Caenorhabditis elegans: one gene and its partner. The protein of the gene in region 1 interacts with the protein of each later gene in a pairwise test. Each region holds a gene or a part of one and is shown in the gene's direction. Other genes may lie near its edges. The genes, in order: insc-1 and stip-1.

Evidence for each region.
Region 2: the proteins of insc-1 (region 1) and stip-1 interact in a two-hybrid assay, tested with the Caenorhabditis elegans proteins (one study listed by BioGRID).

The regions. Positions count from the first base shown.
Region 1 is NC_003280.10:7,352,813-7,368,923, forward strand, and holds insc-1 (Protein inscuteable homologue C-terminal domain-containing protein), read left to right. Parts: upstream 1-6,100; coding exon 6,101-6,175; intron 6,176-6,386; coding exon 6,387-6,556; intron 6,557-7,141; coding exon 7,142-7,239; intron 7,240-7,284; coding exon 7,285-7,395; intron 7,396-7,774; coding exon 7,775-7,815; intron 7,816-7,928; coding exon 7,929-8,073; intron 8,074-8,125; coding exon 8,126-8,240; intron 8,241-8,292; coding exon 8,293-8,483; intron 8,484-8,530; coding exon 8,531-8,625; intron 8,626-8,670; coding exon 8,671-8,771; intron 8,772-8,819; coding exon 8,820-8,919; intron 8,920-8,970; coding exon 8,971-9,216; intron 9,217-9,297; coding exon 9,298-9,451; intron 9,452-9,498; coding exon 9,499-9,601; intron 9,602-9,911; coding exon 9,912-10,192; intron 10,193-10,240; coding exon 10,241-10,362; downstream 10,363-16,111. Other genes in the region: haf-2 (ABC-type antigen peptide transporter), read right to left, coding at 999-1,094, 1,149-1,565, 1,611-1,970, 2,019-2,345, 2,396-2,847, 2,898-3,017, 3,065-3,614; msra-1 (peptide-methionine (S)-S-oxide reductase), read right to left, coding at 10,465-10,839, 10,973-11,221; F43E2.6 (Ovule protein), read right to left, coding at 14,658-14,849, 15,370-15,492.
Region 2 is NC_003280.10:10,344,072-10,360,182, reverse strand, and holds stip-1 (Septin and tuftelin-interacting protein 1 homolog), read left to right. Parts: upstream 1-10,177; coding exon 10,178-10,289; coding exon of another isoform or gene 10,290-10,294; intron 10,295-10,397; coding exon 10,398-10,461; intron 10,462-10,510; coding exon 10,511-10,987; intron 10,988-11,053; coding exon 11,054-11,841; intron 11,842-11,892; coding exon 11,893-12,455; intron 12,456-12,504; coding exon 12,505-12,628; intron 12,629-12,675; coding exon 12,676-13,040; 3' UTR 13,041-13,098; downstream 13,099-16,111. Other genes in the region: C07E3.3 (SH2 domain-containing protein), read left to right, coding at 2,681-2,788, 2,837-2,965, 3,010-6,156, 6,201-6,296, 6,345-6,425; C07E3.8 (DUF223 domain-containing protein), read right to left, coding at 6,930-7,218, 7,313-7,487, 7,636-7,742, 7,790-7,920; C07E3.9 (Phospholipase A2), read right to left, coding at 8,700-8,842, 8,888-8,963, 9,131-9,247, 9,296-9,421; C07E3.10 (uncharacterized protein), read right to left, coding at 13,334-13,534, 13,677-13,781; pro-2 (Nucleolar complex protein 2 homolog), read left to right, coding at 15,072-15,292, 15,338-15,620. UniProt on the Caenorhabditis elegans protein: May be involved in pre-mRNA splicing. Required for embryonic development and survival.

The DNA.
Region 1 (16,111 bases):
ATGAAATAAAAACAAATGAGAACGACTACCGAAGAATTTTCTGGTTATGCGAATGCGGAAACTATTTAGATTGTTTTCGATAAGATAAGAAATGGGGTCAATTTCACTCGTCACTCGCTACACTGACGAGTACGGAGAAAATGGAACTGGTAATGGATTGCGGTTTAAAAAAATAAAAAGAGGTTAAAAATAAATAAAAAGGACCAGAATGTACGAATCCTTTCCTTAGAGACCCGAAGAACTCGGGGGATTGGCCCCGCCCACAGAACCGTGGCTTGCAATACGCCCATTTTTGAAACTGCCGCACGGTTTTAAAATTATTTTTTCTCAATAGAGCGAGAATTAACAAGAAAAAATTGCAAGCCACGGTTCTGTGGGCGGGGCCAATCCCCCGAGTTGGTAATCCCCCCAGTTGGACATCGGGTCTCGACACGAGGAATGCGGCACGCGGGAATTCAAACAAGCGAGCGGCACCACGATGGACTCGTCGTAGAAACCCTTGTCCCGGACCGAATTTCGCTCGTTTTTACCGTAAATCATCAGAAAAAATTTACAGAATAGAAATGAATTGTTTATGTAGAATGTGAAGGAGAAGGATATGATTCTTACAATACTTCACACAGTTGGACCCAACTTCGAAAAATACAAGCAGAATATAAATTGCAGTAATTAATATTTCCCGAGCGTCTTAGGGAATTTGAAATGGTATTTCTGAAAGTCAAATATCACTTTTATTTTGGTAACTTCGTGAATTTGGAGTAGTCAAACGGGTTCAATAAATATTTATTATGAAATGTGAAGAGTTTAACTTCAAAAATGACATGAATAAATTAGCACATGAAATTTCAAAAAAAAAATATGCAAACAAGCTCGGAGAAGATACACGTGAATAAAGGTTGCACCAAGAAAGAGAAAATTGAACAAAGAGTACACCGGCTGAAAGAAAATGACTAAGAAGATATGAACGGTCGTCTTGTACTGGACATAAATAAATGGATTTAATCTTCTCCAACTTTAGCACTCAGCATTTGACGAGACACCAATGAGTAATACATTCCGTCTGTGTCTGTCATAAGTTCGGTGTGTGTTCCCATCTGAAATTTGATTTTTGTGTCATGTATAAATAATATATCTTCCAATAGAGTTACCTGAACGAGGCATCCTTTGACTATGACAGCAATTTTATTAGCCTTCTCGATAGTAGACAAACGATGAGCAACTATGATAACAGTTCGTTCTTGAGCACACCTACTCAAGGCTTGTTGAACTAAAGCCTCGGATTCTGTATCTAGTGCACTGGTTGCTTCGTCAAGAATCAATACAGCTGGATTACGAACCAATGCTCGTGCAATCGCAATTCTTTGTTTCTGTCCTCCACTCATCTGAACTCCTTTCTCTCCACAATTAGTGTCATATCCTTTCTCCAATTCCATCACAAAATCATGCACATTCGCCATCTTGGAAGCATTGAGCATGTCATCTTCAGTAGCAAAATCACATCCATAAAGGATGTTATGTCGTACAGATCCATTGTAGAGAACTGGTTCCTGTGCTACTAATGCAACCTGCAATAAAATAGATGATATTAATCTCATAATTTGATAAAATACCTTTTGATGGTAGTAGACATGATTAATATCCTTGATCGGAACGCCATCAAGAGTAACAGATCCTTCGTCCGGTTCATAAAAGTGCTCGATAAGCGATACAATTGATGACTTTCCTCCTCCACTTGGACCAACAAGTGCAACTGTTTCACCTGATTTAATACTAAGAGTCAAATCTTTTAGAACCGGGTTGTTCGGACGAGATGGATAAGTGAATCCGACGTGAGAGAATGTGATGTTTCCATTTACAAACGGCCTCTGCATTCCGTCTAATTCAAATTGCGGCTTGCGATTCATCAAATCGAAAACTTTCCTTGATGCACCGACAGCTTCCATTAGACCAGACATTACATAGGAAAGGTACTGAAAATTACGTTTTAAAAGCTTTCATATTAATTAATTCAAACGAACGTAAAGATTTTCACCGAGTTGCATTTGATACAGAAGGAATGTGATGAGTTGTTCTTTTTCCATTTTACCCGTCATCACAAGATGTCCTCCATAAAACAAAACAGCAACAAGTATCGCGTTGTCACAGAACTCGTTATTCCATGTATAGAACAAGTAGGCAATTGACTTCTTTCTATTGACGGATAGTGTACTCGAGAGACGATCTTCGAATCTTTTCAGCTCTTTCTTCTCGCACGCAAAACTTCTCACAGTTCGCATCGTCGAAACAACTTCTTCGGCCATCTGATTCGTTTCAGCAATTGTTTGTTGTAGTTTTTCGGAGATTTTCTGAATTATTTCAAAGATTATTTAACATTTGAGAGAAAACCAATACTTACATCGTAGAAACTGCTGTAAGCTTTTGTGATGAATCCTACGAGAGGAACAGCGATGAATGTAACCATTGCAAGACGCCAGGACATAAGGATCATGAATGCAAGTGCACCGATCAGCATAACTCCATTCCTCATAAACACATTCACATTGGTAGAAACTGTAGAAGAGATCGTTTGACAATCAGAAGTGAGTCTAGACATCGTGTCTCCTGTTTTTGCGGTGTCATAAAATGCAATATCCTGCCTAATCAAGGAGGTGAACAGATCTAACCGAATTCGAAGTGTAACAAGAGCAGTGGCGTAGTCAAAGCATCCACCACGAAGACCTCCAAACAGAGAACTTGTAGCAGTGAGGCATGTGAGAACGATGATGGAGTGAATAAGTGCTTGGATTCCACGTTTGTTCACAATATCAGAGATTACTTGGGCTGTGTAGTTGGGGATGAAGACACGAGCTATAAATTATTTTTTGGAAAACTAAAAAATTAAAAAAAAACCAACAAACCTAAAGCATAAACCGTAAGAAAGACAAAACCACTCGCAAACCACGGCCATTGATGTCCACAGTACGAGAGAAGACGGAGGAGTACTTTGTGTAGTGGAGCTCTGGGCGCAGTTGAGGATCCTGTAAATTTATTATTTTATTCAATTTCTGGGCAAAAAATAACTCACCACTTTCAACATTACTTGCAGTTTCCGTATCCCTCACTGTTTCAGCTGCAGTCTCCGTTACAGAAGTGCCAGCATTTTCGGCAGTTGTATTTAACAATCGATGATAATCGAAAGGATTTGAAGTGAAAACGAAGTACCAAACAAGAACTTGAATGAATCCGGAAAGAATAGACCAAATGACAGAAAACCACAATCCGGGGAAGTATAGTTGATTCGAGTCCTCGGAGAAAGCCAGAAATTTGATGAGAGATAATGAGTAGACGACTACTGCATTGCAAATCACCACAGGAAACAAAACTTTAACTTTTTCCCTCTTGTTGAGAATAATGAGAAGAACCGCGATAGCACAAAATGATTGTCGTATGAATGAGAAGATTTGAAATTCGTATGGAGTTGTTGTGAAGTGATAAGGAAGGGAGAACGTGATGATGCCCAAAAATGAGTCATAATTGAACTTCCATCCTGGAGCAAAATACCCAAATGAGACGTTAGTGATAGCTGCATCAATTAGCATGTACAGGTATAACGACGTATTGATCCATCGGTGCATCTTAAAAAATTAAATCTAGAAATTTAACGCGATTCGAAAGAGGGAAAACGAAAATAAAAGAGCGATGTTTGCCTATTCACTCTCATAGGGAACGGCAAATGAACAAGACATCAGTATCAAAGACCAGAAACAGAAAATGGAGAAAAGCAAAAATATGGCATTTATAAAATGGGAGTTCTGAAATAAAATGTGATACACGAGACAATGGGCGGAGATTACGGCATGATTACGAAATATGAGGAAACACTAGGAATGACTCATGCACTAAATTATTGTTTTAACAAAAAGTCGATAATTATATTGAATTCTCAAAAATACTATAGAGATCAACTGTGCTTGTAAAACTTCAATAAATGTTGGTTTAGAATTTTAATTAATTCTTATCGGATAATAAAAATTTGGCTCAAATTCTCAATTTTTAGGTCCGGTCTTTATTTTAAATAGTTTTCCTAGAAACAAGGTTTGTGAAATAACAGAAAAATCTAGCAATTTTCTACGATAAAACTTGAAAACTAGAAAACGTAGCTTTTACATCTACAGTAAAATTCAGAAAAGTGCTTTGTCGATTTACGATAAACAACGCGACGAGTGTCATTTCGGAGTTTCGTTATTCAAGTTGCCTGTGCCCTCTACATCTTGTACACTGTCTCGCGTTCTGAAAAATTTCCAGGCCTAGAAAATGATTCAAGTGAAGCCTGAAATATAATCTTGATATTTTTCCAAAGATAATTGATACAATGTTCTTTTGTAAATAAATCCTTTTGTAATTTTCATATTATTCTAATGCTTTTTGGGGAAAGGTTTTCGGAAAAAAGGTTTCCGCATTCTAAAAATATTCCAGACAATCCCTATTTGATGAACAATTGGTGGTGGTGGGCGCAAAAATCCACTTGGAAATCAACCATATGTCACTCATCAACCCCACTGTTTTGTGACGTTTTGATGCGGAGCCAGAAGGAAAAGAGACACTCATTTATCTTTTTTATCATCAAGAAGCGGAGAATCACAGCGGGTTTTTTGGCTGATTTATATCCTCTATGAACCCACGAGATAGGTGTTATTCTCCCAAATCACACCGTTTATTGCCCTTTAAATTTTAATAGGTTTTAGAGAATTCTACAGTAGTCAGAAAAATACGTGTTGTTTAAACTTATTGTTAGAACAAAACGAAATTCTAGCTGTTCAGTGGAGGCACTCATCATAAAAAAAGTTAATTATCTTTGCAGGAACAGTAGACAAAAACTTATTAGCAATAACCTTTAGTTTCTTCTAGGAACAATTGTGTTTTAGTGTAATTAGGTTACCTGGGGGTATATATCATGTAGAATGAGCATTTTTCGCTTATAGAAATTTATTTGAAGAGTCTCTTCAAAATATACAAAAAAATTAGATTTCACTTCTAGAAGCTTCTGCCTAAACTTAAACATAATTTAAACTTTTAAATTAAAACTTCAAACTTTTTTAAACTTTGTTAAACTTGAAAATCACAGATTTTTTTAAAATTTGACCAAACTCCGGAGTTTAGGTCTGAGGTAGGCGCGTTTATCAAATCATACCTGAAGCTCTAGTAAATTTAAATCTATATATTCAACTGAAAAAGTTTATTGAAAAGTGTAGAAATTCAGCTTTGTGGCATGATTAAATCACCAGTTGGTATTTTGTTGGAAAAAAAATGTTTAGACACACTTTTGGTAAATTGCCAAAAAATGCCAAAACGTGTGATTTGAACACCATCTATAGCTTATAATATTTGCGTAAATATACATTTTTATTAGTCTTCCAAAGACGATATGACATTAATTTTCATTTTAACTCTAAAATTTTTTTCTGTTTTTAAATGTTCTGATACTTATAATATATTCAAGATTTTTTATAAATTAAAATTAAAGTCTGCACATCTTATCATATTATGTAGTACACAAATTGCTCCTGTGGGTGCTCATCTTGCTCTCTTTCTCTCTATTTCTGAGATATTGTGACCTCTACCCTTCCGCCTGCTTTGTAACTCACCAGCTGATTTGCATTCCCTCAAAACATGTCCAATGCATTCAACTAGACCGGAACCCAATTGGCATATTTGCTCCACAAATTTTTTGACATTTCGTTTTTTTTCGTTCAATCTTACTTCCGCCTGCCTCCCGCGTCCCACGTCGATTCATCTCTTCTCACTTGCCGCGCGCATGAACTGATCCCGAATAGAGAAGTCTATGTTTGTTTTGAGAAACTCATCATTTATCACCTTCACTTTTCTCTGTGTCTCTCTATTTCATACAATATTCACAAGGTCCCGATGGGCTTCCCACTTGGATATTATCGCGCATTGACAAGAAGAGACACACTTCTTACAACAATATCTTTATAAAATTATGAATATACTTGGAGCGTCCTAGTGAAAGTGACAACTAATAATTAGAACTGCTCGTTTCTTTCACTTTTCATTCTTTCTTTTCAATTTTTACTTTTTTCAGCTAAATGCTCATATAAACATGGCCCGATTGGCCCGATTCTGGGATTCCCTGGAAAACGAGAATTTATTCGATATAGTTCCACAACCTCCAAAGGTCTCAATTTATTGTTATTAAAATTTATAATAGAAAGAAATAAAAAAAAGAGACCCTTCTAAACTTTAGGCTTTACTTGAAAAATGCTTTCAAAAAATTATTGTTAACTGATACAAAGAAGCAATCTCTTGGAAATATTTTTGATGAGCTTGAAACATTGCAAAAATCAGAAATCAGATGAAAACTGTTTATTAATAAAAATTAATTTCAGTCTACTGTAACCCGGTTTCATCAGCAATGGCTCTCAAGTTTGGCAAATGCCCGAGACGACGAGCTCCAAACAATTTTATATGCAAAACCATTGCTTCCAACTCCGGAATCTATCGTACAATTACCCGATGAAGAATATTATGGAGCCAAGAAAATCTCGGTCGGCTACAGGTAAAGTGGTTGTTTGTTGTTCAATGCACAGGGAGTCGGGTTACCCGACTAGTTGCGGTCATTCAAATCATTTTGCTCTTCTTTTTCGCTTTACAAGCTTCTTCTTCTTTACTTTAATGAAATATTTTAGCAAAAATTTTGTAATTAATTTTTGTTGTGTTCCGCCAAGAAATTGGATGCGAACAGGTGTCATCTTGGCCGCCATCTTCAAATAATTAATGACTTTTCTCAAGTTGTTGAGCATGTCTCTTTCCGAGATTCTTTGTTACTTTCTATCAATATCTCTCGTCTCGTATAAAGTTCTTATATACAGAAGTTTGAGAAATAAGTTATTTTATCCACATTTTCTTTCAAGCTTCCAACTCCAAAAGTCAAATCAAAAAAGCAAACAGTAGCTATTGGTGCGAAAAGATATTTACCGCGCGGAATGGGAAAGAGATAGTTTGCAATTTGATCCGCATTAAGAATAAATTCATTATTTCATTCATTTGTAGTATTATTGATTACTTTCAAATCAATGGTTCTTCGGTAATTCAAATCATCAAAATTTTAAAATATATAAATTAATTGTTATTTTATTTTCAGCAAATCAATGTTATCAACTTCATTGGGCAATATATCAGCTCCTCCAAAACCTCAAAGGAGGATAGCAAGGCTACGAAGTGGAGCAAATGATTGTGCAGGTAGTAACAAAATGAAAATTACTTTATAAATGTTACAACTTTCAGCAAGTCTTCCTCAATTGTTGGAAAGGAATTCTATCGCTGAGATGATGAACAACAGTCTGAGTGACAAGTATAACTCAAGTAGCACTACTTTGTGCTCGTCCGTTCATGCTGGTAAATATTTTGTGGAGAATTTAAAAGTTGATAACGATAGTGAGAGAGCTAAAACACGTCAAATGCCCTTAAATTTTTCAGAAAGAAAGAAACTTGATACCTTGCAAAAATGAAATTATTCTGGATTTTAGGCAGTATCATTTTTTCAATTTTTGCGCAATACAATTTTAACGATTTTTTCTTGAATTCATCTGGACTAGATAGAAAACAATGCAACTTAAAAAAAGGAATCAAGAAACAAAAAGTTGACTCCCAACATAAATTTTATGAACTCTCTTTTCCTTAAACTTTCCCTAGAGCACTGGGAAAACTTGCGGCATAAAAATGCTTTCAAGTTTTGAACATTTCCGTCCTGTTTCTCAAACTCGAGTTTTTATAGAGTCTTGCCCAACGGACACCGAGGATGCAATAATTCGAAATGTGAGTTCACTTTCTTTTATTCCTTCGTTTTTTCTCGTTTTCTATCCCTTCACCACCCCTTAAATTTTATCTTAATTGCTTCGTTGATTGGCAACACATGTTGAACCATTCAGATCAAGTTGCCCGGCTTCCGAGGAAACATTTCACGAGCTCTGAGCCAAAAGAGCAACTCTCCATCTGGTTGTCGAACACCAACTCCTAAAACAGCGCCTCCGTCGTATGAACAGTTTCAGGTTTTGCGACGGAATTCTATGAAATGTGAGTAATTTTTATTTCGTTATCTTTTGCTGGAAAAATTGAATTTTTTCAGCTAGTGTGCAACCACAAAGAAATGGAATTTTGTCTCCGGCCCCACCAGTTCCAACTTCTTCAAGAGCAAACACAATAACTGTTAATGGAGCACATGTTCAACAGGCAATGAACAGGTACTAAATAATTATTTTTAACATTAAAGATAAAATAATTTTGCAATTACAGAATAGACATGAGCACTGACAGCGCAAATACAATTCTCCGATCTCCATACAGTACTCGTTCGGATAGCATCACAAGTGTCGACTCTGGACAATGTTCCGGAGATCAAATCGAACGAAGATCAAATTGTTCAACTCGACAAGAAAGTAAAGATGATGATGATACAGGGATGCCAAGCTATGCGAGAATGGCTAGTCAGTAGTCATTATTTGGAAATTGAATTTTTAAAGAGAAAATTCAGGTACAATGGATCATGTTCTCAGAACATCATCTGCTTTGTATACTCTTCTTTCTTCAGCTCTGGATCCAGCAACTTGCAGAGATTTGTTGGCAAAGGTATTTTGTGCATACTGAATTAAGTTACAAAAGTTAATATTTAAGTCTTCTGTGTTCATCCAACTGCTTGAATCATCTCCATGTACAAATTATCTTCCAAAGACTGAAATGGCTCGATTAAAAATGAATGTTCAAGAGTTACAAAAGTAAATCTATTATTGAAACAAATTAAATGTTACCTTACGTTTTTCCAGAAATCGAGATAAAGGAATAATTGACATGAATAATATGACAAACTTTTTTGCGATTCTTCTCAGAAAGTCTATAGAATCAGTACTTTTGGTGTTTGTGAGGGTAAGTTACTTTTAGTTTAACTATTCAATTCATTCAAATATTTAATTTCAGATAATATCCAAGAATCTATGTGAAAGTAATGGAAAAGATCGTCTGACACCTATTTGTTTAGAGCATCTTATTCATATTTGTTTATTTGGAGATGAACTTTGTATTGAAGCAATTCAAAAAGGATGCATCTCATCAGTTATTCGAATTATGAAGAATGATCAACCACAGGAGAACACTCTTAGATTTTTACTTCGAACATTGGCAGTGTTATGTGGAGTTTCAAAAGGAGCACTTGCTTTGCTCACGGTAATTAGATATATTTTATAATCAATACTTTTCAATACAAATTCAATACAAATTCAATCAATACAAATTGATTAATTTCAGCAAGGAGGCTTGGATTTGGTTATTGATAGACTTTTATCCATTTCCTCATCAATCTGTTCCGTCGAGGCAGCTGGTATTCTGACACAACTTACCAATCCTCAGTCTGCATTCATTCGGTTAAATCATGTGGAACCAATTATATCCAGACTTTTGGGTAACCAATTTAAATATAAAAATTGGAGACTAAATAATTAATTTCAGATCTAATAGATCAATGTAAATCAGGTGACTCTTTGCTTTTGGCAACCGCTGCATTGAACAATGTGACACTTCAGAACCCAAATGGAGTTGATATTATGTACAGGTTTGTTGAATTTTAAGCATTTAACTATTTTCGCAAAAGCTCAGTACAAAATTAAATTTGAACCAACATTAAATTGAGCTATAGCACGTAATTGTAGAAAATGAATGCAAAATTTCAAGGCGAATTCCTTGTTCTAACTTTTGTAGCAATTGCTACAAGTTACCTAGAAACTACAAAACGGTAAACCAGCCTACCAGATAAAACTGAAAACAGTCTCGAATTTAAAAAAAAATCTGAAAATTTATAGGATCGCTCTCTATTTTGGGATTTTGAAAAGTTTTTTGCAACATGTAAATGTAAATATTTTCAGAAATAATTCAATTCGTCGTCTGATATCTGCTTATAATCGAGAAAATTGTGCCACTGTCTTCGTCCAGGAACAAATTGTTACAGCCTTTTCTCGCCTTGCCGCCCGTCATTTAGATCATCAAATGGTTGATCAAAATGCAATTCCAGTGCTTCTTGAATTTTTATCCCTTACCCATCCAATCCATGCGGATTACTGTAGAAGGATACGGTACAAAGCTGCTGTATGTATTGGTACTTTAGCTAACAGTGAAATTGGGCTCAAAGCCTTGTATGGTAATAATGGTGAGATTTTCAGAATTATTCAACGTTTCATATATGTTCAAGTTACAGCCTACGCAATTTTGAGCAATGTGCTTTATGATGACAACAACTCTTCAAATCCATTTAATATGATATGCAACAATATTCGCACAAAGTTGGAATCTAAATACCAATCTGAAAGTGCAGTATAATATTCAAATATCTTCCTTTGTTAAACAAACAAACACAAGAATCTGTGATAAAATAAAATTCATTGAAAACCTGATAAAAGTTCGATTGTACATTCATATAATTTAAGCATGACAGTTTCTTGGATCTCCTCCTGACAGAGCATAGTCCTTCACCTTATTGACAAAAGAATCCTTTAATCCGTACTCTTTTGCAAGACGCTCAAGATCGTGGAAGTCCTGGAAGCCAGCACAATATGCGTTCAATTTTGTGGCAAGTTCTCCTTCAGCAACTTGAGTATCAAGAAGAGACAGTTCATCGAAAAGAATCTTCTTTTGACGGAACCAATATTTTTGATGGTAATCTTCAGCTTGATAGAACTTGTCCAATGGCTCAATATATGTTTCAATGTCTCCATGCTTGTCCTTTGCTACTTTCAAAGTTTCTTCAGCGACTTTCTTTTGGTCGTCATTTACGTAGAGAATCGCAGATTGGTATTGCTGAAATTGAAACGAATTAATTTGAAGTTTAAATGTATTTTAACCTAAAAAATTATAATCAATTAGAACTTACTTTTTGTTACGTTTTCCAGTAGAACAATATTTGAAACTTTAAAGTCAATTCGAAAATTACCTTCTTTCTCCTTTCAGCTGGGTTGTGATGCTTCCAAAAGAAGTTGGTGAGCTTTGAGTATTCAATAACTTTTGGATCAAAAGTGATCTCTGTGATTTCAGTATGATCCTTGATATTCTTATAAGTAGGATTTGGTTGTTTTCCTCCAGCATATCCAACTCGTGTCACCACAACTCCTTTCAGCTTCGCCCATGCAGATTCTCCCCAGAAGCACTGAAGACCAAAATAGGCACGCTCCAAATAAGCCATGTTTCACCTGAAATTATATCGGATTGAAAAAGGTTTTGAGTTTATAAAGGAATTAAAAAATTAGTAAACAATGTAAAAACGTATGTTTCACAGTCAATTTATATACAAATCGGGGCGGAATCAAAATGTGATTCCTGTAAATTTTGCGATTACATCAGAAAGAGGAAAGAGACGCAGAGGGAATCGATGAAGAAGACAAGTAGAAAAGAAAACATACAATGTTAGACGCAGGCATATAGACACGACATGCTTTATCATCATTCTGCCAGCAGTGGTAGACGAAGAAAAAGCAGATGGCCAGTCAGAAATGATGACATAGATCGCTTTTTGGTAAAGATGTTTCTTTTGATGATATTGAGTACACGTTGGGTTCAATGGACAATAACTGAGCTTTTCCATGAACTTTCTTTTGATCAAAATAGTTTCTAATTTTAGGCCCTGTATTTTTCGTTAGAAATTGCAAAATGTTCAATGTACAAATGAATAAGTTATACCTAGTTGACGGAGCTCTTTCACTTGTGAGAACATTGAACTTTTCCTCGTCTTACAACAATCGTTTTTTTTTGTTTATTCGATTAGCTAAAAAACAATTAATCAAAAAACTATGAAAAATAAATGAAATTTCCGAAAGTTTGAACCTACAGTACTCATTAAAGGCGCACGCCTGTTCGTATTGTACAAAAATCTGTCGTGTCAAGACCGGGGTTGGCTCAAAAACCCTAAAACCTCGTGTCTGGTTAATAAAGGATATTTCCAGAAAAAAAGTGAAATGGAAACCTAAGTTATTTCTGAACTATTAAAATATAGTGTGCTCTTGGATCTTGATAATTTACTATGACTTCAGCAGCTTTATCTAATTCCATGTCTTCTTGTTTTCGCAATGTATTTTGTATTTCACGGATGGAACGTTGACGAAGATAATCTAGATTCGCTAGTTCAGCAGTTATATCATCAAGAACTTGCATTGCTGCAGCAAATGTTCAATGCACAAATGAATAAGTTATACCTATTTGACGGAATTCGTTCACTTGTGAGGATGGTAGTGGGGGTGGAGTAAGACTGGCTCAGTCTGAACGTTTTGACCTACTTGCAAGTTAGTTTTGAAGCTCAAAAATAATGTTGTTTTTACAGACAGTCATTTGGACTACAAATCCACTGTGACACCTGCTCAGACAAACGCTTAGTCGTCTAATTAGATTTCAACCGTATTCAACGAGATTTCAACCATATTTGTTTAGAAAATCCATATTGCATTATATTTGCTCCATATTAGATTAGAAATCCATGCTAGATTAGATTTCCTCCATATTTCATTAGAAAACAAATCTAATCCAATATGGTCGAAATCTAATTAGACTACTAAGCGTTTTTCTGAGTGTGCCCACAGTACATCACTATTGTTTTATTGAACCGTTGTAGAAGTATACTATAATTTTCTACAATTCAATAGTTAGGCAATACAACATTCTAAATTCTCATTAAAATAATACTTGCCAGCAAAAGTTGCAAGCCCAGGCTCGGTTTACCAAATAACTTCTTGAACTCACGAAATTGCGTATCTTCAAACTGGCGTATCTTGAAAAATAAACATCCAGGAAACAAATGTTCAACTAACAAAATGATTAGAAATATTTTTTATTTTTTCTGCATTACTTTTCAGTGCAAAATACCAATTATTTGTTACACAGAGTCATTTTACCAAAAACCACTAAAAATTTTGTCGATTGAGTTTCAGAAGTAAAATGTTAATGAATAATAATTGCAAGATATAAACTGATAAAATGTGGAAAAATATCTTGCAATTATTATTTATTAATGGGGTTATTCAAGTAATGTAGCAAAATGTATTTAAATACATTTGTGACGTCACTAATGTATTTAAATACATGTTTTTATATACTTGAATACAGTTGTGACGTAATTAATCTACACTTTTTAATTTTCCGACACTACTTGAATAACCCCATAAGTTTTGTTATCTAAAATTCAATGGATGTTGAATTATGAATGGTAGAGCAGAACAGTTCTCAAAAATTTCGATGGGTATTGGGAAAATTTATTTGAATCAGTGTAACTCAACAAATAACTGGTATCTTGCAATGAAACTAAATGCAAAAAAAAGAAAAAATATTTTTAAACATTTTTTTAGTTGAACATTTGCTTCATAGACGTGGATTTTTCAAGATACGCCAGTTTGAAGATACGCTACAAATGCCTAGTTAGGCTTGTTCGAAAGCTAGAAAAATTCTCTACACAATGGCAGGTTTAACTTCAGAAATTTATTAGTAGATACTGAAAATTATGGAAAATACCAAACTAACTATGTTTTACAATATTAGATAAACATTGAGAAAAATTGCTCAAAAAATCTGACCGACATTTCTGTTGACCAATGTGAAGAGAAAAAGTTGAAATTTTGAAAAATCTCAAAATTTTTATTCGAGTAAAAATTTATAGTTAGGGTTATTTCTTGTTTTCAGTGACAATTTTGAGAGCTTCTTGTACATGCCATACCGGGTGAACTTGAATTTTCGTTTTCATCGAATCTGGAATCATCGAGTAGTTCGAATCCGGCACTATGACTGCTTCATACAATCCGTCAATAGCCGCCTGGACTTTATCAAGAATTCCACCAACCTGAAAATAGGATCTTTCTCTCTCTTCTTTCCTTCTCTAGTACTAGTTTTTAAAACATACAAAAGAAAATGTGTTCAAAAAAGTTGGGGGTTTTCATAAAAATAAAGAACTTACTTCATAAACGAAACCGAAAACATCAAGAGAACCCGTGATGGCAAAACGGGGTGATATCTTAACTCCTGTGAAGAGAGCCAACAACCCAACCGCAGTCGCCAGGGTACCCGATGATCCATCCAATCGGCCATGATAGTAGAATTCGACAACAACTTGTCTATATTGCACCGGGAAGCCCATAGCAACTGCTTCGAAACGAGCGACTTGATACGCTAAATGCGACTTCCGTTCTATTTCTGGACCCATTTCACCTTGACTATGAACTTCGAACGAGTGTTCGTTGGAAATCTCATATCGGCATTCTGAAAAATATATGATCTTGTATCATCATTTTACTAGATATGAAGCGCTGTTTTATGTTTCTACATAGTAGATCTTTGGCAAGAAGAATCCCACTGGCCATGTCCATTTTGAGACATAATCACAAACTGGAGGAAAATTCAAATTTTCTAAGTAAAAATGCTCTGGAAACTTCTCGAAAATTCAAAGGAGTTCTAGAATGTGCTAGAACTTTCTTGTTCTCAATTTCGCAACTGCAACATTGTGTTTTGTAATACGATAACACAGGGGTTTTGGAGATATGAAGCTTTGAAAACTCACTGATAGTAAATATGTCGCCTCTTTTCCCCTTCTTTGGTTTCTTCTTTTTGGCTACGTCTTGAAAGCAAAGTCCGATCACGTGAGCTTACTTTGAAATTTTTTGATGTTTTGAAAGTGGGATGGGCATGAAGTTGTCCATTTTGTGATCAGAAACAGTCTTAGCTTGAGCCACATTTTGTTGCATAGCGTTAGTATCATTGCTGCCATTTGCCGATGTTTCTGAGATGTCTTCACAATTCTCATCGATTTCATTGGAGCGATCAGTCTCGTCGCCTACCTACAAAATTTGATAGTTTTAAAATATTTTTCCTCAACGTTCAACCCTTTATAAGATCTATGTTTGAGTACTGGTGCACTGTTAGCGGAGCACACTTTTATAAATTATGAACATTTTTGGAATGTTCGAAAAACTTTAAAACATTTCTGAGAATGTCAAGTGGAAGTTGCTGAAAGATTGTGGAAACGACTAAATTTTCTGAAAAATTCGAAAAAATTATAGTCTCTAGAACATTTTGATTGTTTTGAGGTGCACCGAGAATATATTTTTAAGGGTATAAGTACGCATAGGATATGATAGGATAGGATATGCATAGGATAGGGTATAATGGATATGATCTATGTTTGATAGAGTGCATTTGCAAAGATAACGGCCCTGCAGGCATTTTTGAAATAATTACAAAAATATAATTTTCCCACTCGTAGGTTATTCCCTTATTTATGATATCTCTTCGCACATATGAAAACTACTTTTTTCAAAACTTTTTATTCTTCAGATTTTATAAATCTATAGACCTTACTTGATTAATATCGTGATTACTCACATTTTCTTGCTCTGCCTGAGCGCTTTCTCTTTCAGCGTGTCTTCGGTTGTATCGGTTGTCTCGTTCCTCTTTTTGAATCTCCGCTTTGGTCTTGCCCATATTTCCCTGAAAAGAACATAATTTAAACTGTGTAATGAAATCTTCCCGCGCGGCGATTTCTTGTAAGCAGGGGTGAGCGGCCATCGGCGATCGCCGATCGCCGACAGGACGAAAAGGGTCGGCGATCGCCGATCGCCGAGTTCATTAGACGGCAATTTTTCTTTTGAAGAAAAACAAGAATTTGTATTCTTTTCATAATTAATAAGTTGCAAAATGCACTTATATAACCTCATAATGAACATTTAACACTTGAACAGTGCATTTTCTTTTGTAAAAATCTAAAGTGCAAGAAAATCGCCGAGCGGCGATCGCCGATTTTTTCAGATTTTCCGGTCGCCGATCGCCGAAGACAAAAATATTAACGGCAATCGCCGATCGCCGCGTTAAAAATTATTATCGGCGATCGGCGACAAAAAAAAACGTGTCGGCGATCGGCGATCGCCGATCGCCGATTTTTTTTCGATCGCCGCTCTCCCCTGCTTGTAAGCTCTCGTTTGTATGTAAACTCACTTTGTTAGTAAAATGCAAGTTGTCAATGTTTGATTAGTGTCAGTTTCTTTCGAAATGATTGAAATATCAATTCTGACAGACAATAATGGTAATCTTGATAAGGTTTTCC
Region 2 (16,111 bases), 3.0 Mb from region 1:
ACATACGTTTTTTGTGGTTTCTAAGGCAATCGTGAATATATACATACATTTGGAATTATTGTGAGTTTCGGATTTAAGTGCTAAAAAATCGTTCAGATTACCTTAAAATTAGATTTTTCATTTATTACAGGCAGAAAAAGAGCGCTCGTTTTTCCGAAACCAAAAATAAACGAACAGGATTAAAAAATTATCGCAGTTTTCTACAGATATGTCTAGGGTTGTTTTAAAATAAAAATTTAATTTTTTTAAATCTAAAGTAATTCGTAGCTTTGAGAAAGTGCCAGTCATGATTGTGCACAATTGGGCTCTATGAAAACCAAAATCTGAAGTTTAATGAAATTATAATTTGATCCCGGTTTTACTGTAAAACTTTTGTCAGCTTTGTCAGCCAACTGCCTACCTACATTCTTGCCAAAGTATGTTATCACCGCGTTCCCCACCCAATTGTCCAAACATGTTTTGAATAAACATGGTCAAAATGCAACTGATAAGAATAACAAACGAACTATAACTCTTTAATGCTTCTACTTTTTCTCTCTTTCATCACTCAACAATTCACCGCCACTCTTCTTATTCTTCTGAGTCAACACAACGCCACTCCCTCCATCGGTGTCTTTTTGCCCCGTTTTCACTATTTTTCCACCATTTTTGTGTTGTGACTCAGAACACCTTTCAGTTTGATTTTCTTCCAACACTGTGTCATTCCCCAGTTATTATTTTTATTATAGTTTTGAATTTCAGAATAAAAAAATCCTGAATAACGTCTTAAACCAGGGTCATTCTTGGCAAACGAACACAACCTTTTTATTTCAGTATGATAGTCCAACGTTTCGATTCAAAAATTAATATACATAGAAATGTAAGAGAATATAAGTTTTCATTTGAAATAATATTGGTTTTTGTTTAAAAAATATTTAAAAAACCTACCGTTAAAAGTTTTTGGCACAATTTCAATTATTTTTCAATTTTTTAAACAAAAATAAATATTATTATCAGATTAAACATATATTTTTCTACACTTCCATATCAAGTTTTGAATCAAAAAGTTGTATCATCATACTGAAATAAGCAGTCTTGTACTCTTGCCAAAACAGCGCCACGGCAAACATTAAATTAACTCGAAATGTTCAATACTTTAAAAGCAAGTTTTAAAATTCCCAAATCTGCTTGAAACTTCCCTGATGATCGTTCCAATCGGTCACTCGACTCTTCTTTCGTCAAACTCACTAACAATAATAATAATCCGAAGAACTGACAAAACACCGAGTTCTTGTGTGCACTTCCCCCTGTGCTCACTTTTTGACTCATTTCATATGTCATTTGAACATAGGAAGTGTGACGTATGATTTTTAGCATTCTTTGAACTTTTTGATATTAGAACATTTAAAACTAGATAGGTAATTACTCAGTTCTTGCTATTCATAAGTTTCTGCGAAGACTAAATTTAAAACGCGTTGAATATATTTTTAAAAATGCTCAAAACTATGAATGCTCTGTCTACTTTAAATTGAACTTGAATTCGAAACTTACTATTAGACATTACCCCAAGTTAAATTATTCAAACCCTACTATCCAAAATATCTCCTTATCTTGTAAAAACTTAATAAATCAGATATCTAGGAATAGAAAAACTTTTTTGCAACCCCCAGCAACAATTCGATGTTGCGCACCGCTTTTTGTACGGTTTCCGCTTGACAATCTCTCTAAATCACTTAGTCTCCTACGGTCTCTAATTAGAATTTGTCTCCAGGGATTGAAATCATGTCGGTGGATCAAGCAAAGTGCGTGAAAATATATGTGTATATGTCAATCAGATAATTTACTTTTTATGTGTGTCGTTGTTATTCCGCCTGTCACTCACTTTCTCGCTAATTTCCGTATTTTCATTTCTTAATCGTGTTAATTAACACCATTTTGAGGTCTGTCCAAATTTCCAAACGAAAGTTTTGGAAATTTTGGTAATTTTTCAAAACTTTTAATGAAAAAGAAGATCGAAATGTTTATTTGAAGTGTTTTATCAAAACATTTGATCATTATGAGTAAATTTACAACACATTAAAAAATGTCTTTCCGAGGTATGAAAATTGTGTAATTTTTCTAAATATCGGCCTACAATTGAAGCCTACTTTTGAGCCTTTTTCTCACGCTCTATCTTAAAACTTTTTGTATATTATTTCTTGTGTAAGATTTTAGAGGAAAAAATGCGAATAATTTTTTTTCCAAACTCTGCTCATAAAATGATTCTTGTTTATTTTCTCACTCACAAAACTCTCTATTTCTTTCTTTCTCCATATATTTTTCCATAAAATGGTAGAAGAGAGTGACTCAAAATGTTTTTTCTCCATTTCTCCCTGTTTGTTTTAGGTTGCTTATGATGGTTGTTTAATGGTTGCGGTGGGAGGGAGTTTGTCATCTGACTCGTCTTCGTTCGTACTTTTTAAGAGACATCAATACACCTAAACTCCGCTTACTCGATGATCATTCAGTTTCTTGAGGAATAATATTTTCCACAATTCCTTCTGATTTTCTTTTTATAGCTCATATTCGTCATTTTTTATATATACAGAACAGAAGCAACAGCTTCCAATTCGGTGTTTTAAATATACTTCTTTGCTACACTTTCAGAGTTTTCCTAATGTTTGCAAATTCATTTTTATTTTTCAGACCGCTAGCAGAAACAATGGGACATAGTCAATCCTACGATCTTCGGAACCCGGAAGGAGGCGAGAAGACGCCAGTTAGAGGAGTACGAAGAGTGAGCAGAGAACATCAGACTGATGCACAATTTGTGAGAAACTTACCTAAGGATAAATCAAGACTAACTTTCACTTTTCAGTCCACAGAAACCGCTGAGCCGTTTGATTTTCGAGAGGATGAGCTTCGTGACCGGATCCGAAGAGAGCAGTTGAGGAAGAGAGAGGTCGAGTTGGAAACGTTGAGAATCAGACAACACGAGAGTCGAGAGGTATTTTATTTGATGACTGAATGATTTTAAAACCCAATTTCCAGCCAATCATCGATGCGTACCGCCAAAACCAACCTGCACCACAAGGAAACTTGTACAATGAGTTCAATCATTACGATTCGATGAAACATGCTTCTCCATCTGATCCAGCCACTTATTTCGCACTGAAACCAATGACCGAAGTTAATGAAGGCCGACAATTCTCAATTCCAACTTCTTCCACTCGCCGCTACGACCAAGTTCCAATCGATCCATCCCCTGAACTTCAACGCCGTGAAGTTCCCAGCAAGCAGTCTCCACCAAACTATCCGAAGCGATCTTCAGTGTTTGGTGGCAGAGTATCCCCGTTGCCACGTCAATCGGAAGTCGATCCACATCCAATGCCACGCTACATTCCACCGATGAGTCCAAGGTATGAACGAACCCCCAAAGCCCAATACTGTAAAACTACCACTGTCACTACCTATACCACTTATGGAGATACCCCTGAACCACCTAGAAGTACAACTTACTCGAAAGCTTCAAAGCTGAAAGAAACATCGGTAAAACCATACGCCACCTACTCAAGAGGTACTAAACTCCCAAAGTATGACGAAGTTCCCAGGAATACAATGTACTCCCGAGCTTCTGAAGCTTCAAAAACCTCTTCTCGAACTTCCTTAGCTTCAACATGTTCTCGAGCCTCGAAACTTCCAAAATATGATCAGATTCCTCGTAGCCCTAGTGTCCATAGTCTGTATTGTCGTATCCCAACCTATGATGAAGTCCCAGTCCAAAAAAGTCCACGTTCCATAACTCCAACGCCAATGAGCCACCGTGTCCGTATTCAAACATCTCCTCCAATCCCACCATCATCTAATAGTACCTATGTGATTCCTGTTAAAGTGGATCGTAGATCCGACAGTCCTCGAACAGTCATAATCCCATTCTCATCAAACTCAACTACAGCTCTCGACAAGGTTCCCCAAGAAACACCAATCTATCGTAGAATATCTAAACCCAGCCAGACTAAGCCAACCAACTCTCGCGTTTCTAGCATCCCTTTAAGTCAGTCGTATCATTCGATGGACAAAATTACGATGACCTCAGTCTATCGTACTACTGCTACAAATAATCTGAAACAAGAGCCCATAGTCATTCCTAGACCTACCTATCGTTATTCAAAAACTCCGCTTCAAAAAGAAATTCCGCCAGTCCCTCTTGAACGATCTGTGATCCGACAGCCTGAGTACAGTGATCCCGGAGACTCTAGAATCATAGTCATACCATTCTCAAATCAGAACAAAAAATATTCACCCCCTCCATCAAGAAGCAGTACTCCAATTTATCATACCAATCTTCAAAGAGATGTTCCAACGTCTCCCCTACCTAGAAGACCCCTCTACAGTCGACCACCGTCAACTATTAGTACTGCTTCATCGGTTGAATATATCCCTCGTGCTCCGGTACCTAGAAGACCACTATACGATAGACCTCCATCTACGATTAGTCCACCTCGTTCTCCCCCATCAGAGCTTTATTTAACTCCTCTTGAGCAGGAAGTTCAGCGGGCTCCATTGTCCAGGCGACCACTTTACAGTAGACCACCATCAACCGCCAGTGCTCCTCGTTCTCCACAACCAAAAATCTATTTAACTAGACTTCAGAAGGAGGTACCACATGTTCCGCTGTACTCATGCGTGGCAAGACCAAGACCAGTTTACAGTACACCTCCAGAAGAGCCTATTGTGATTCCTCGTGCAGTTAATCCACCTGTGTCTTCAACAATATATTTGACTCGACTTGAACCAGAAGTTCCTGGAACTCCACTACAGCACTACATTTATAGATCTCGCTCTTCATCCACCTATAGCGTTCCGCCAGTCGAGGAGGCTTCGACCCGAACAGTAGCTTCCCCATCTAGATACACTCCCCCTCCTTCTTCATCTCCAAAAATGCACCTAACTCATCTGGAGCGTGAAGTTCCTGGAACACCACTCAACCACTACATCTCCAGACCTAGATCTACCCCGATCTATAGTACTCCACCAGAGGATAGGAATGTAGTCTCCCCATCTAGATATACCCCTCCACCATCGGTAACAATGGCTGCAAAACTTCATCTAACCCCACTCCAACCTGAAGTTCCTAGTACTCCATTGCAGCATTATATTTCTAGATCCCGCGCTTCATCCGTCTATAATACCCCATCAGTAGATAGTACTTCAACGCGTAGCCTGGTGTCTCCATCTTCTGTTCGTATGCCTCCCAAGCTCCATTTGACTCGTCTTCAACAGGACGTTCCGTGGACCCCGTTTAAGGTGTCTAGGCCTAGGTCAACTCCAATATACAGTACCCCTCCTCTCGAAAAACCTATTTCCCGTACTCTTGTTACCCCGTCTAGACGCACTCCCCCTCAAAAGCTCCACCAGATTAGTCTTGATCAAGACATCCCGGGAACTCCCCTTCAGCATTATATCTATAGATCTAGATCAACATCAACCTACAGTATACCATTGTCTGACTATCCTCAACCATCGCCAACTCCGTCTAGTGTGATTATGAATGACGATTCTCCATATGAAGAGAAGCCGAAAAGTTATTTGGGTACCTACCCAAAAACTTACACCAGAATCATGCCAGAAAGACCACCAAAAATAATTTCCCCACCAGAACATCCGGTAACAGTCAGCAAATCTAAATCCACTCAAACTCTTGACCAAATGGTAGTTCTCCCACAACCAAAAACTCATCTCTACCCAGAAATCAGTTACCGTCGTCGTAGACCATTGAGTATACATGTCCCCGCAGAGTCCAAATCCTCCACCATAATTTCTATCTACAGTAACCCCATCGATGATGTTCCACCAACACATGTCTCCGAACTACACGCCGAGAAGCGAATGATCGTTGGAATCGATGACGAGTTGCAGCCAGAGAAGAACAACGTGACATACGTAACTGTAGCTACTGCTGCAATCGATAATGAACTACTTCATCGTCATCCAGAAGTTGGAAGACATCCAGTCTACGTGCTTCCAGCTCAAACAAGCTACGGAGCTTCTGCCAAAAGAAGATCGTCTGATGACGAGGCAAAGAATGTGTTGCCGCCACAGAACTGCACAGTGGAGCACTGTACACACGTGGCGGTTAATGATGGAAGTCCTGTAGTGATAAGAAAAAGAGCCAGTCAAGATTCCATCAGAGATAAGGTGAATAGTATTATTATCTTCAGTTAAATAAAGATATTCTTTAGGAAAACCGCCTAACAATTCCCATCAACGAGGACGACACGGAAAACGTCGGAGAGGGTACAAATTATCAAAATGTCTCGAAAAAGTGCTTTGAAGAGGTAACCAGAGATTCCTTGCTAATAACTAAAACTCTTTTTAATTTCCAGAGACTCCACTACGATTCGTACATGCCAACGCTTTCATTGAGACAACGTCCTGTTGTCAGCTTTTATGACAAGCTTCATTAACTGCATTGAATATTTTTCTGAAATTTTGAAAAATCCAAAAAAAAAGAATGGGGATAAGCATTAATGTAATTTATTCATTAATTGTCAATAATTAATTTTAAAATGCAAATAAATTTTTTAACCTTTTTTGGGATTAAAGAATGCATGATTGGAAATCAAAATTATGAAACTTCACTGATTCAACAAAATCTGGAACCGAATCTTGCTCTGATACTTGTCATTATTCATGGTAATCCTTAGTTTGTTTAACTCATCCAAGTCATTCTTCACAGCATCTTCATTTTCCAGAAGCTCCCACGGGTATTCTTTTGCGAGACCCAAAATTTCAGTAACAATGATTTATCACAAATTATATCGATTGCTAGATCAAGATTCTTTTCCTGAATACAAAGCTTTCGAATATCTTGAATATTCTCAATTTGGGAGAGTATTTTTATACTCATTTTCTTCGTTGGGAAACACTTTCGAAAATGTTTAACTTTATAATCATTGTTGCTCATTTCTTCAAGCATTTTTCCAGTCAAACTTAACTGAAGCTCCTCCATTGCATACGGGGAATCCTCGCAGGTTTTTAGAATCAATAACTGTAACCTCGTTTAATATGTTTTTTCCAACAACAACCAAATGCAGAGTCTTCACCTTCCACTTGGAAATCATCATAGCACTGAGAAATACTTTTGGGATTCCGGAAGAAGGGGCATTAATTGAGAGCGAATCAACTGTGATGGGCGCGTTTTTGAAGTTTACCAAAGTTGGACGGAATCGGTTTCCATACAATAAACAATCGATCGTGCTGTAAATGTTCAACTTATTCAGTTATCGACAGTTTTCCGCAAACTGCCAAGATTAGGAAGTTCCAACTTGTGTAGCATTTTCCAAAAACTTACAAGCTGGTTATTTCCAGTGATTCAAAATGATGAGGTTTTTCAAATGGGGTCTCGAATACACCTTCTTGTATTGGACCACACTTCTTGCAATGTTCTACAACACGTCTACACATCCCTCCACAATCTCCAAGTTTACAAATAGTACACATTCCAGTGTATTCTTCAACTTTATCGTCTGAAAAGCAGCATCAACATCTTTAACTTGTTCCTATAGAGTCAAACAGTTTCAAAAAGTTCCGATAAGCTTGCATGTTTCTGATAATTGTTGTTTTGAGCACAAAGATATGTATTCAAAATTGAAATTTTATAATAGTCAAACTCACAATCATATCCAATTAGACCAGCAACATGAAGTCCCTCGCAAGTATAATCTCTATCGATAGCTATATTCAACTTTCGGACAATAACACCAACCACATCTTTGAGAAAACTGGAAAATGAATTAGCATTGGAAACCAGTAGTTACTATAAACTTACAAAAAATAATGCCAAAGTTGGTAAATCTCTATCTTCCAATTGTTCACTCGAACTGTGCAGAACTTACACACATAATCATCGTCACATTCCCAGTCATGCAAATCGCTTTCCACTACATCGTGAAATATCATTTTGGAATGTTCGTTGCGGATTCAATAAAGCACTGCAGTGTTGAAGAAATTGTAAAGTTTGAAGATTTGATCTCAGAATTATCATATTCAAAAGTGTTTTCTACAAAACAATTTTTGGCAATTTCCAAAAAGTAGCCTCTGGATAGAATCATATAACACAACTCACTCTCAACTCCAGTAAATTCATCGAATTTTCGTTAAGACTTTCCAAAATTCTTTCGAGAATTATCCTATTCTCAAATATTCCTTGAAATTTTCAAATTAAAAGGAAAATCTATAAAGCTGTGAAACTCACGTAATTGTTAACTTTTTCAAGTTGGGACATTCTTTCGGTCTTAAAAGAAAAAAAAACAGAAATGAAGGTGGAAGGTACAAAAGACAGTCAATAAATGTCGTAGGATTATTCTCTTTGCAGGTAGTCCTGTCATTGATTTATGTCATTGAGAAACAGAAGGTGACACTTGACTAACAACAACCTGACGTAACATTGGAGCTACTTGAACACACCAAAAAAAAATTTATTGAGAAAAGACAAGAAATGGTATATAATTGTAATTTACTCATTAAGACTCTTTTTCAGTATTACATATATATGAACTCTTATGTCAACTTCAAGTATTAAAGGATTAAAGTATGTATTATAGAAATTAATATTAATCCAATTTATTCCAATGTTCCCATATTTATAAAAATCAATTCAATATTCTAAAAAACCAACTTTTTGGAAAAGTTCAAAACATGAAGTTTTTAAAGTACTTTCAAGTGAATTTAGATATTATTCAATGTTGGAAATGTTTCGTGATGGGAGCCCAAAGAGTTCTGTTGCATTTTGCTTTTTTCTCCGGCTTCGGGAATTTTTTCCAACACTCAACAACAATCTTATCACAATCACAAAGTGCCGCTTTGCATCCCATGTTTTTATCTGGAAAGCTTTTTAAATTATTCGGGCTCAAAAGAGCTTATATACCAGAACAAATTGCAGTGGAATTCATGCATGACCAGGAATAATCATCAACGTATTCGATTTCGACATCCATACAAACCTAAAAAAACACATTGAATAGTGTATCGTTACTTCCTGGAATTCATACTTCAAGGCGCACGGATTTACGTGCATCGGTCTCGCCACGATGTGCAGTTACAGTACTTCGTTGTCAGCGGGGCGAGACCCAAGTGTGTTAGATATTAAGTTTCTTTTTAAAAAAGTCACCTTATTATCGACAGCAGCATCATAGCACTTGTCATGGTGCATACAACACTCATCGATTCCATCGACAGGCTCATGAGATCCACCGATTCCACACCAGCATCCATAATTATTGTAGTGCTTTAATAGTTATTTCGCATCAAAAAAACTTTATTCAAAGGAACTTACCAATGCATTGTAGTGAAGTTCGCATTCAGCGACCTCCTCCAGGTTCCAGAGAGCCTTCAGTCTCGGATTGGTGCAATAGCAAGTCGTTGAAAGAGCGGCTAGAAACACTAGAAGTATGAAGTTCATCTGAAAATTCAAAAATATCGATGAAAAACTCCCGTTTGATGAAGTGAAAAATATCAAGATTTGAATTTCGCTCCAAAAGTCGCATGCCACTAAACAACATGCAGCCAAAATAACGGAGCATCGTAGTCTTTAATTTTATTTCGAATTTCGATTTTCTCTACATTTAATTTCGTTTTTTGTCTTAAAAAAGGCTAGGTATATTGATTTTTCTTATTTAAATGTTAGAACTTATTAATACTGATAAAATAAATACAAAATTGACGGTTTCCGGATGAATTTGCCATAAGAAAATCGTTTAAATTAACAAAGTTTAGGAAAATATGTGAAAATTGTTGTTTTTATCGATTTCGAAGTGTGTTTAATAACTTTGTGTGCTAATTAATGAAAATAAATAGGATTGGAATTTTAATTTGCTAATTTAGTTTTAACAATATGCAAAACATGAAAATTATATTATTCAATGAAAATTGTGATTTCTCAAAAAAATTTTTAATTTAAAACCAAGCAAAAAATTGAAAGTTAGTCTGGAATTTCGTCAAATGTTCAGACAAAGGAAACACGTGTTTAGATGACCGGAATGCCGTCAGAAAGTATAGGAAGAATGGGACAGCACGAGACCTGACAGTGTAAAAAATGATTCATTTCCTCCCTGGATTTATCTCTAATATCTCTGCGTCTTCCAATGAAAGATATCACTTTGATTTTTTGATTTTAAATCGACATTTCAAGAAAAAAACATAATTTCGTAATTTTCAGATGGAGGACGATGATGGACGTGAATCGTTCGAGATCAACGACATGGATCTCGAATACGCAATGAATCCAGGCGGCAGGCGACGGTTTCAGAATAAGGATCAGGCGACATATGGTGGGGTGAGATCATTGAAAAATGCGAACTTTTTGCGGAAATTTTTTGTTTTCTTGGAAGCTCCGCCGTTTTTATTAACATTGGGCAAACAAAATTGACATTTTTCAGGAGTCTTTGCACCTGACAGCGACGATGATGACGATGAACAAGGAACAAGCCGAGGGCCTTATAAGTAAGTTTTCTCCTTTAACTTTGTTTCAATAATTGATTTGTAATTACAGAAAACGATCAAAAATAAGTGCACCAATGAGCTTTGTGAGCGGAGGTATTCAACAAGGAAATAAAATCGACAAAGATGATCCAGCGTCTCTGAATTTGAATCTTGGAGGCGAGAAAAAGCCGAAAGAAGATGACGAAGGCTCCATTCAAATTGATTTCGATAAAAGAACAAAAAAAGCACCGAAACAGAACGGCGCCCAAGTTTTCGCAGGAATGCGCTCATCAGCTAATCATGGAGCGGCAGATATTAATCAATTCGGTAGCTGGATGAGAGGAGACGGAAATTCGAATAAAATCATGAAAATGATGCAGGCAATGGGTTATAAGCCAGGAGAAGGTCTCGGAGCACAAGGTCAAGGAATTGTGGAACCAGTTCAAGCTCAATTGAGAAAAGGAAGAGGAGCTGTTGGAGCTTATGGAAAAGAATCGACAGCTACTGGACCAAAGTTTGGAGAATCTGCAGCGGATGCACAGAAAAGGTAGGCAAAGGGTTGCTTGAAAAAATCAATTAAAAACAACGAAAAAATTAAATATTTATTTTTTAGAATGGCTCAAGAGGGAACATCATCTCGCCCCACAAATGATGATCAAGAGAAGAGTGGATTGAAAATAAAAGGAAGTTGGAAGAAATCTCAAACAGTGAAGACCAAATACAGAACAATCGAAGATGTGATGGAGGAAGGAATGTCAGCATCACGACCAGCTTCTCATCAACAATCACAGCAATACTCGAACATTAAAGTAATTGATATGACTGGAAAACAACAAAAAATCTACTCGGGTTATGATTCATTCTCTATGAAAACTCGATCCGAATACGATACTGTCGATGATGAAGAACGGACTGTTTTTGATGTGCCGGAATTGATTCATAATTTGAATTTACTTGTGGATCTTACTGAAGAAGGAATTCGAAGAAGCAATCAACAATTGATCAGTTTAAAGGATCAGACAACAGCTCTGGAATATGATCTACAACAAGTTCAGAAATCTCTTGGAACAGAAGAACAAGAAGCACAACATATAAAAGATGTATACGAGCTCATCGATGGATTCTCATCTAATCGTTCACCGTCCATGGAAGAGTGCCAAGAATTGTTCAGACGTCTGCGATCAGAATTCCCACATGAATATGAGTTGTATTCTCTTGAAACTGTTGCTATACCAACTGTTCTTCCACTAATTCAAAAGTATTTCGTTGCCTGGAAGCCGCTCGAGGATAAGAATTATGGTTGTGAACTCATCTCGACATGGAGGGATATTCTGGATGACAGTAAAAATGGAAGAAAGATGACATTTGGGCATAATAAAACAAAAGGAGATGAGATTAGAGGTAAGTCTATTAGTTTTATTTTACAAAGAAAAACAGACAATTTTATTTCAGCCTACGATCGTATCATCTGGGAAGGAATTCTTCCATCAATTCGCCGTGCCTGTCTTCAGTGGGATCCGAGCACACAAATGCACGAAATGATTGAACTCGTCGAACAATGGATACCTCTATTATCCGCATGGATTACTGAAAATATTCTGGAGCAACTGGTTGTTCCTAAAATTGCGGAACGAGTTAATCAATGGGATCCGATGACAGATGAAATTCCGATTCATGAATGGCTTGTGCCTTGGCTTGTACTTCTTGGAGATCGTATTCAAACAGTGATGCCTCCAATTCGACAGAAATTATCAAAAGCTCTGAAACTATGGGATCCAATGGATAGAAGTGCTCTTGAGACACTGAGACCATGGCAGAATGTTTGGTCAGCTGCAACATTTTCAGCCTTTATTGCACAAAATATTGTTCCGAAACTAGGTGTTGCATTGGATACGATGGAATTGAATCCAACGATGAATCCAGAATATCCTGAATGGACAGCTTGCATGGAATGGCTTGAATTTACACATCCTGATGCAATTGCTAATATTGTTACAAAGTATTTCTTCCCGAGGGTAAGTTGATTATTCATGTTCGTTTTTAAATATTACATTTTTTTTTCAGTTCTACAACTGCCTCTGTCTTTGGCTAGATAGTCCTGGTGTCGATTACAATGAAGTGAAGCGTTGGTATGGATCCTGGAAGGCTCGAATTCCACAAGTTCTTGTTAATTATCCAACTGTAAATGGTAAGTTCAAATATCTCGTTTTTAGAATCAAAATGTTTTTTTTTCAGAAAATCTTCGTCGCTCAATGATCGCAATAGGGCGATCCCTTCAAGGAGAGAAAGTCGGCGGACTCCAAGCCACTCCGATTGCTCCAATGGCTCCACCACCACCAATGGCACCACACTTTACTCAAGCTGCACCTGTTCAGAAACTGTCATTAAAAGAAATTATCGAGTACACAGCTGGAAAGAATGGATTCACATATCATCCACAAAAAGATCGATACAAAGACGGACGACAAGTATTTTGGTTCGGTGCACTTTCGATTTATCTCGATTCGGAAATGGTTTATGTGATGGATCCAATCGAATTTGTATGGCGACCTTCAGGGCTCAATGAGCTTATTCAAATGGCTCAAGGTGCACAAGGATAATCATTTTTAACATATCATATGATCTTGTTTAAACTTACGATAAAAGTTATTTTAATTTATTATTGTTTTAATTTTAACCTTGTCTATTCATTCCGTTAGATAACGGTTCATTATTTTATACTTTCTGCTTTGTATTTGTATTTTATAAAATTTATTGAAATTAAAAAAAAAACTGTAATATAGTATACTCGTAAAATTTTTACATTAAAAATCATCGGTTAATTTTTCGCAATTTCATAAAATTCTAATATTCTAATTGAATTTTCTAACCGATTAGAAAATAATGATTGAAGTTAACCGAATTGGCGAATCGCTGAGATCTGTGGAATATGCTGATCATCAAAATCGATTAATTTTCCGCCGTCATTCGTCGTAAAATTATTATTAGAACTTGTCGGGGAGTAGGCATTCAGTTTTTCACTTCTTGTAGTTATTGGAGTTTCAATCGAGACAGCTACTCTTTCTGACGGGAGTTGGACAATTGAGCGCGTCGGCTGAAAATCTAGATGAGAAAATTTTGGAAGCTTTTAAATTAAAAAAATAAGTTTTTACTAAAAATACTAAAAATTGTAATCTTTTCTGAATCGTAGAAACTAAATTTATCTCAAAAATCGAGAATTCTACAAGAAAACATACATTTTTCGGGAATAAATACCATACGAATAGTCCAACCACTACTCCGAAAACATGTAGAGATATTGAGATAATTGTGTGCGTTGTGTAGGATAATGTGACGAACATGAAATCTGAAAATTAGCAATTTTTCACATTTTGTATCAGTTTCTCAACTATAAAACAAAAACATAAAAGTCAAAAGCGATGGAAAGACTGTGAGCGAGAGATGAAGCCGACGGAATGAAGCGTAAAAGCTGTGGCGCACCACGGCTGCGCGGAAAGATTTTTCTCGTTTTTCTGATGTTGCTGACGGGCGACAGCCAGCAGCTTCTCCTTCCATTATCCTACAAGTGTCCAATTCATCCCGCAGAATGGCTTTTGTACCTATCTCCCGTCCGTTCTGGCTTATCGTACCGGGGACATTTATTGCGAAATGTAGAGGATTGTGTATGTGGTTTAGGAGTGGAACATTGAAGTAGCTAGCGGGAATTGTGGGATTATTTTAATTTTTATGAGATTCTCAATAGTTTAACTATTTAATTTCATCAAAAAATATCCTATTTATGGAATTTAATTTATGTCGAAAAAATATAGAAAATCACTAGATTTATCTGAAAATAACATTTTTTTCAGCCGAAACTTTTGAGAAAATGCAGAAAATTACCTTAAACTAAATGTTATTTTCAGATAAATCTAGTGACTTAAAAAAAATTATTTTTGACACAAATAGGAAATTAAAAATGTTAGAAAAACATGGTGCATTATGTCATTTTGTAGAATTGCAGAAACTATTATGATATTTTGACATCGAATGGAAAAATGGCAGCTAATCTAGCGAGCGATGAGACCGGTTCTCTATAGATTTTCAAGTGACCTTTCGGAACGAAGAAGTTCCAATCAAGCTACATACTAGATTCCTAGATTCTATAGACTTAGAATAATTAAATCAAAAACCTATCATGGATGAGAATAAGAAATAATGAAATCCTGCCTTGAATTAATATGCAAATGAGATGACTATACAGTCAGAGAATTATTCCTTCTTTGTTACGCGCGTTTCATCCGAATCTTTTTCCTGACTATGAGAAAGTCTCTTCGTTGACCGTAGTCTCTAGAGGTCTTGTGACCCCGATTCGGTCGCTTAAACAAAACACAAAAATACAGTAGTGGATTGAAAGTTCGCGGCTTTTCAAAAAGTGTTTTTGATCTTTATGTATCATAAATCGTGAAAAAAACGACTAAAAACGACTGCCGCAGAAAAAAAAGTTCGAAATTACCGTACTCTTAAAAAGCGAATATATTTTTGTAAGTCTGTGGAGGGTACTGTATTTTTAGCGCAAAATTTTGCGAGTGTACAACTGAATTATCATTTCGATATTAGAAAATCATGTATTTCCACAACATCATAATTTCAGGATGAAGCTTCTCAAAAAACCCGCGGGACTCAAAAAAAGAAAAGTTATTTCAAAACGAATCAAGATTGAAAAGAAGCCAAGTTCTGAGGACGAGGGAAGTTCAGATGAGGAGGTACCAAAATTGGATGGAGAAGGAAGTTTAGATGGATCTGAAGATGAAGATGATGGAACTGTGACTGTTGAGAAAGGAGGTGTGAAGAAGCATAAGTTGGATTTGGAAAAGTGAGAAATTGTCTTCGAGCTGGTAATAAAAATATATATTTTTAGACTGAAACAATCCGATCCCGAGTTTTTCAAGTTCCTTCAACAGGAAGATGCCGATCTATTGAATATGGAAGATGATGGGGATGACGATGAAGATGACGATGAGGATGATGAAGATGAAGAGGAAGAGGAAAGTGATGATGATGAGGATGATGAGGAGGATGACGACAAGACAAAGATTAAGAAGATCCGAAAACCAAAGATTAAAAGTGACAATTCTGGACGTCTTATCGTGGATTCAAATGTTTACTCTTACCTTCAACAAGTTCTCGTTTTGGATGATGAGGTAATTTATATTATCGAGACGGAAAACTTTACTTACTTTGATACTTTGATGTCCGTTGGGTTCAAGTTGCGAGGCAACTGCGGACAAACTCGAAAAAATATATTTGTTTAGTTGAGAAAACAATTAAAAACGCATACATTTTTTTAAAAACGTAAATTTTGAAGTAAATGATTTTTTAAAAAATTTTAAAAACCTGATACTAAATGATTAGCAGACCCAAGCTGTGACTAAATATTGGTTTTTAGAAATTTTTCATCGATTTTTCGTATTTTAGTTGAAAATATATTCATTTATTCAACAAAAAAAAAACAATTAAAATCACATAATTAATAAGAAATCAGTAAAAAATACTATAAAAAATCAATGAAAATTACAGTAACTAGAGTTTGAAACTACAGTACTCTTTAAATGCGCACACGAGTTTGCATTTAACTAAAATTATGTCGTGTCGAGACCGGGTACCGTATACTTTTAGCATAAAACGAAATATT